2 linked regions of the Mus musculus genome follow. The protein of the gene in region 1 interacts with the protein of each later gene in a pairwise test. Links are inferred from orthologs where the notes say so. Each region holds a gene or a part of one and is shown in the gene's direction. Other genes may lie near its edges.

Evidence for each region.
Region 2: the proteins of Zgpat (region 1) and Dvl2 interact in a two-hybrid assay, tested with the Homo sapiens proteins (2 studies listed by BioGRID and IntAct). The two-hybrid records come from large-scale screens. The link is inferred for Mus musculus from reciprocal best matches to the Homo sapiens genes ZGPAT and DVL2.

The regions. Positions count from the first base shown.
Region 1 is NC_000068.7:181,378,246-181,381,328, forward strand, and holds the end of Zgpat (zinc finger CCCH-type with G patch domain-containing protein), read left to right. Parts: intron 1-137; coding exon 138-271; intron 272-505; coding exon 506-661; intron 662-1,324; coding exon 1,325-1,444; intron 1,445-1,528; coding exon 1,529-1,934; intron 1,935-2,129; coding exon 2,130-2,268; 3' UTR 2,269-2,548; downstream 2,549-3,083. UniProt on the Homo sapiens protein: Transcription repressor that specifically binds the 5'-GGAG[GA]A[GA]A-3' consensus sequence. Represses transcription by recruiting the chromatin multiprotein complex NuRD to target promoters.
Region 2 is NC_000077.6:70,003,471-70,007,117, forward strand, and holds part of Dvl2 (segment polarity protein dishevelled homolog DVL-2), read left to right. Parts: intron 1-1,334; coding exon 1,335-1,404; intron 1,405-1,684; coding exon 1,685-1,830; intron 1,831-1,966; coding exon 1,967-2,076; intron 2,077-2,191; coding exon 2,192-2,327; intron 2,328-2,467; coding exon 2,468-2,558; intron 2,559-2,665; coding exon 2,666-2,735; intron 2,736-2,820; coding exon 2,821-2,960; intron 2,961-3,043; coding exon 3,044-3,120; intron 3,121-3,647.

The DNA.
Region 1 (3,083 bases):
TTTGCTGGTGTGCCTGTCTTGACTTCTTGAATATCATTCCATTACAGGCAGTGTCCTGGCGATGGCCTTTGTGCTCTTGGTCTTACTTGCTCCTGGTGGGCCATGTCTAAGCCTCTGTCTTCTGTGCTTGTATCTAGGTTCTCCCATGGGCAGGTGGTATCTGTGGATGAGCTGCGTCCCTTTCAGGATCCAGACTTAAGCTTACTGCAGACTGGCTCTGCATGTCTGGCCAAGCACCAGGATGGCCTGTGGCACCCAGCACGGATCACTGGTGAGACTGCCAACAAGGACCTATTTGGTGGGACCCTTTTCAAAACACCCTCTTTGTTCTTCATACAGCCATTCTCCACCTCCTCTGGGTTGGGCTCTGGGACTTCATCTTGGCCCAAGATGAGCAGGTCTGCCTTTGTCCCAAGCCCCTTCCCTTCCTGTTTCCCACTTTGCTCCTAACTGGTTGCCTAACCTGTAAAAACTGCTGACCTACAGCCTGTCTCTGTCACCCTAGATGTGGACAATGGCTACTATACCGTTAAGTTTGACTCATTGCTGCTGAAGGAGGCTGTAGTGGAGGGGGACAGCATCCTGCCTCCTCTGCGCACTGAGGCTACAGAGTCATCTGACTCAGACACTGGTGATGCAAGTGACTCCAGCTATGCCAGAGGTATGGCAAAAATGAGTGCTTAGAAGCCAGAGTGGTGAGGGAATAGAGCAGGTTGGTGAGGACCTGAGGGACCCGAGCGTGTGTGCTGGCCTGGCTGGCCTTTAAGAAAGAGACAAAGCAATTGCATGCAACAGTCAGAATTCCCTGAAGCAAAGTGGCACCACACTGTAGAGAGACGAGAATGCTGTTGCTAGATCTGCCAAGGAGTCACAGGAAGTAACTGAGTGTAAGATGTAGGAAAGGGTGGGTTCTTCAGATGACTTCCCAGATTTAGAGCTTGGATGCTTGGTGGGTAGGGCAGAAGAGATTTTGGCAAACGGAAAATGTATCCAGGTGAGATAGAGGTTTCAGGAAATGAACTAGTAGGTAACGTATAGTCTTCCTGAGGGGTTGGTTAGGATAAAGATAGGAAGATGTTTCTGGGAACCTGTGATGTGAATTGGTGGTTTCTGGGCTCTGGTCATTGGTGGCAGATAGTAAGCTAAAGCAGGGAAATTGGTTACAATACAGCCATCTCTAAAGACAGAGTTGTCAGGAGTGTGCACAGCATGCTTGGGGAACTTGAGGGGACCTCAAGTCCAGGAGATCAGGCCCTACACAGGAACTAAGTTCTTGGGTAACCTTGGCTGGAGCCCACAACTTGGAATCCTCTGTCTCCTGCAGTGGTGGAACCAAGCACGGTGGACACTGGGACCTGCAGTTCTGCCTTTGCTGGCTGGGAGGTACACACACGGGGCATTGGCTCCAAACTCCTCGTCAAGATGGGCTATGAGTTTGGCAAGGGTGAGTGCCTGCTGCCCTGAGTTGAGAGGGAGTCCTTAACACAGCTCAAGGTCTAGCAGGTAGCACAGCCTCTGTCTTTCTCAGGTTTGGGCCGGCATGCAGAAGGCCGGGTGGAGCCCATCCATGCTGTAGTGTTGCCTAGAGGGAAATCACTGGACCAGTGTGCAGAGATACTGCAGAAGAAGACAAAGCGAGGCCAGGCTGGGTCCAACAGGCCTCCAAAATGCCGGAGGAGTGGTAGTAGACCTGAGGGCCGCCCACCCCCCCGGAATGTGTTTGACTTTTTGAATGAAAAACTGCAAAGCCAGGTTCCTGGGACCCCAGATGCTGGGGTGGATACCCCAGAGAGAAGGAACAAAGACATGTATCACGCCAGCAAGAGCGCCAAGCAGGCTTTGAGCCTGCAGCTCTTCCAGACTGAGGAGAAGATTGAGCGGACCCAACGGGACATCCGGGGCATCCAGGAGGCCCTAACCCGGAACACTGGCCGGTATGTGTGGGATCCAGCTGAGGCAGTATGGGCTCCAGTGGCTATGCCCAGAGGATACCTGCTAAAGGTTACCTGACCTGAGTAGCAGCTGAGTCTGAGGTGGTCTAGATATTAGAGGACAGGCATTGGCTATAGCAGCTGAGGGCTTGGAAGTGGGGAGCCAGGAGGCAATGCTGACCAGCAGGCTCTCCCTAGGCACAATATGACGACAGCCCATCTGCAGGAGAAGCTGGAGGGAGCCCAGCGGCAGCTGGGTCAGCTGCGTGCTCAGGAGGCTGACCTACAGAGGAAACAGCGGAAGGCAGACACTCACAGGAAGATGACAGAGTTCTAGCGGCCCTGCCTGTATTGTGGATAGAGCCCTGGGACCCAGCTCCAAACTGCCTTGGCAGAAAGACAGCTGTCACCCTGATGCCTAAACAGCACCTGGAAGAGGAACCAGCCCCTTCTTAGGATGCCCCTTAATTAGCCTTGTCAGCCTAGAGTGTGAACACTGCTGAGTAGAGGTGGGACATCAGGGCTGATTTTGAACACTTATCTGCCCACCAAGCCCACCTACCAGTGTCTTGGGGTGTCTCCTTAGGACATTAAAGTGATTTCATCACAATTCTCTCAGTGGAGACTCAGCTGGCTTCAGGATTTCTGGGGACACAGGGATCTGTGTAGGTCCTGGGAGTAGACAGGTGGGCAGTGGGAGTACCAAATGAGGCCACTGCCTCTGTCTAGGGTCCAAGAGTCCAAGAGAAAAACATTCTCCCTTTTCCCTTCTCTGACCAAGTGGGTAAGAACCTAAGGTGGCTCTTCAGTCCCAGTACTCACAAGCAGGTAGGGTGTGTGAGATGGAAACACCTTAGGAATACAGTCAGTGAGAAAAGCAGGCAGACCTGGCTTGGGTGGGTTTGGGGTTCATTTCTGGTTTTTGGCTGCCACGATAATCCATCCAGTTCACCTGCTTTGTTCACCTCATTAATGGGTATCTGCCTCATTGGGGTGGAGGGGACTGTGCTGGTCTTTGTGGTAATTGCCTAGTGATAGCATTAGCCATGATGAGGTGTGAGGAGAGCAGAGACTGTGGGAGCAACTGCGCAAGAGCTGTGTGGCTGCTGGGAGGTGCTCTGAGAAACACAGGAAGTGAGGTGAGGCGTCACC
Region 2 (3,647 bases), on another chromosome or scaffold:
CAGGACATGTGTTGAATCTAATAGGTACTAATGATTTCTTGTGGGTATGAGAAGGAAGGAACAGGTCTAGTCCACTACAGGAACCTGTGGGAGGCTGGGCTTTGGGATTTTTCAGACCGAGCAGATTGCTTAGTGAGGTGAGGTGGCCCGGAATTGGGAAGCCCAGCTTCCTCGCTCCATGGGAGCGTTCCACACGTGGACTGTTATTGTTGCATGTAAGGGTGATTTTTTACCCAGAAAAGCCACACATTTGGGTGGCTCTGCTTGTGAATTAGAGAGAACTCAAAGGCAGCAGGTTCCGTGAGGACCAGAGGCTTTTATGGGACAGATGTGTAGGACAGAGATGGTTAGGCGGCCAGCCAGGCTCTTAAATTAGATATTTGGAGCAGTTGTGGGAACTGTCCCAAAGGGACTTTGGAGTGGTACTTTGAGGTTTGGATCAAATGGGAAGAAGTCTTTGGAGTGGCATTGTGCCTCTAAGGATGAGTTGGGGTAGTGGTAAATGAGAGAGTCTAGAATTTTTATTTATTTATTTGTGTATAAAAGCAAGTTACTTCACTGTGAAAGCAGAGGAGCTGGGCATGGTGATGCATGCTGGCTGAGTGGCATAGCCAAGTTTGGTGACATATGCCTTTAATACCAGGATGGAGAGGCAGAGTTAGGCAGCTCTCTGTGAGTTTGAAGCCAGCCTGGTCGTCGCTACCGCTGCTGAAAAAAAAAAGGGCAGAAGTCTATAGACAGTTGGCTTAGAGGATGCCGCTGTGTTCTGTTCTTAGCACTAGCACCCACTGGTGGCTCCTGACTCCCTGTAACTAGCTCCAGGGGAGATAATATTCTCCTGTCCTCTGCAAATACCCTCATGTGACAGCCATGCACACAGACATGTACATATACATTAGGGGAAAAGCAGACGACGTGTCAGTCAGGGCAGCAAGTCACCATGCTTGGGCAGGATGGAGATGGGGAGAGACTTGGAATGAGATTTGGAATGGGAGTGACTAGTTTAGCTTTACTAATCTCCCCCATCCCCGTGTTTGTCCCACCCCCACCCCCAGATGGGGTTTCTCTGTGGAGCCCTGGCTGTCCTGGTTCTCTCTGTAAACTAGGCTGGCCTCAAACTCAGATCACCTGCCTCTGCTTTCCAGAGTGCTGGCATTAAAGGCATGCACCACCACCGCCCATCTAGGGTGTGTGTGTGTGTGTGGTGTGTGTGTGTGTGCGCGCAAGAGAAACCCTTGCTCACTGAGTGCCTCTTGCCTCGGCCTCCCAAGTGTTAGTTGAAGGTGTACCCCATCACACCTGGCACCTTACTAATCACTCTGCTCTCTCCGCAGGGTGGTGAAGGAAGAGATCTCCGATGACAATGCCCGCCTACCTTGCTTCAATGGAAGGGTTGTCTCCTGGGTAAGGGGACTCATTACTGAGCTGCTTCCAACCTCAGTCTGTCTCTGCAGCCTCCCCCCTGCTCAGTCGCGGGTGGCCTGGCTTCCCTCTTCTCTAATGTGGATACAGTGAGCACTCCTCGGCCTCCTCTTCCTATAGCCTCCCGTACTGGATTGTTTTTTCTGGCCTCTTCACCCAGGTCTCCAGGACCCTGTGTCCTTCTTTTCTGGTCCTTTTCCTTAGTTTCTTCTCGTACACCGCTCCCCAGCAGAACCATGTTTTCTTACGTGCTCTCTTCTAGCTTGTGTCGTCAGATACCCCACAGCCTGAGGTGGCTCCCCCAGCCCATGAGTCTCGGACAGAACTGGTTCCTCCGCCTCCACCCTTACCCCCTTTGCCACCAGAAAGGACCAGTGGAATTGGGGACTCAAGGCCTCCATCCTTCCAGTGAGTCCTTTATATTCTTGAGTCCAGGGGATGGGAGCGAAGAGGGAATTCAGTCTAGACCTCTTGAGAGAGGGGGACTGAGGTTCCGGTGCTCTGTCCGACTGACTTTGGTTGGAAACTCTCTCTACCTGTGTAGCCCTAATGTATCCAGCAGCCATGAAAATCTAGAGCCTGAGACAGAGACCGAATCTGTCGTATCACTGAGGCGAGACCGACCTAGGAGGAGAGACAGCAGTGAACATGGCGGTGAGGGGATGGACCCTGGAGGCAGGGTAGACTGAGCTGGGCAGACAGGCAAGCCTTAGCATGCTGGGTATGAAGAAGGGGAGGCCTGGCTCCTGAGTCTCTTGTTTATACACAGCTGGTGGCCACAGGCCTGGTGGCCCCTCGAGGCTGGAGCGCCACCTGGCTGGCTACGAGAGCTCTTCCACCCTCATGACCAGTGAGCTGGAGAGTACCAGCCTAGGAGACTCGGATGAGGATGACACCATGAGTAGGTATGGCTGCACACTTCCCTCCCTGTTCCCTCCCTCCTCCCCCCTCCTCCCCTCCCCCTCCCCCCCAGCCAGTCTTCTTGTTTCATGTGGCTCCCTGACCACTTCCACCTCCAAATGCTATGCTTCTCAATTGCTATCAGGTTCAGCAGCTCCACTGAGCAGAGCAGTGCCTCCCGCCTCCTCAAGCGCCACCGAAGGCGAAGGAAGCAGCGGCCGCCACGCATGGAGAGGGTGAGGGTTCTTTTGGGATGAAGTGGGCTCTGGTTGAAACACAAGCTTGTGGCTTCTCTCTCTGTTGACGGGGAGCAGTTCACACCTTTCATGTCTCCCCGCTGTAGACCTCATCCTTCAGCAGTGTCACCGATTCCACAATGTCTCTCAACATCATCACGGTCACGCTCAACATGGGTATGGAGGGTCCTGACGGGGAGAAGGGAAGGAGAGAGAGGGGCTTGGGGTTTCTGGGGCTCAGTCATATGGCCCCCCTCCACAGAGAAGTACAACTTCCTGGGCATCTCCATTGTGGGCCAAAGTAACGAGCGTGGTGATGGGGGCATCTACATCGGCTCCATCATGAAAGGGGGCGCGGTGGCTGCGGACGGGCGGATCGAGCCTGGAGACATGCTTTTGCAGGTGCGCTGACGGCCTGGCTGCTGGCTGGGGCGGATGCTCTGCCCCTCCCACACTGCCCATGACCCACCACCCCTTCCCTTCAGGTAAATGATATGAACTTTGAGAACATGAGCAACGACGATGCTGTACGAGTGCTGAGAGACATCGTGCACAAGCCAGGGTGAGTGCGGCTGGCCCCAGGCCTCTTGGGCTTAAGCCTGTTTACCTTTGTTTTGCAATTTTTATAAAGACGTGAGGCCAGGCATGGTGGTGCATGCCTTTAAACATGTTATTTGAGGCACAGTTGGGCTGAGTGTGAGGCAGCCTGGTCTGCAGAGTGAGTTTCAGTCCATCCGGGTCTACATAGCGAGAAAACAAAAACCAAACAAAACAAGGGCTGTAGAGATGGCTCAGCAGTTAAGAACACTGTTTGCTCTTCCAGAGATCCTGAGTTCAATTCCCAGCAGCCACATGGTGGCTCACAACCATTTGTAATGAGATCTGATGCCCTCTTCTGGTGTGTCTGAAGAGACTGACAGTGTACTCACGTACATAAAAAAAAACAAATACGTCTTTCAAAAGAGAACAAAACCCACAAATTGCAAATCTCCCTGGCATGTCACTCCACACTAGAGCATGAAGCAGATGTGGGTGAGCACCTGAGAAGAGGCCACCCACTGTGTGCTCCTTGCCACTCCCTCTCCTCAC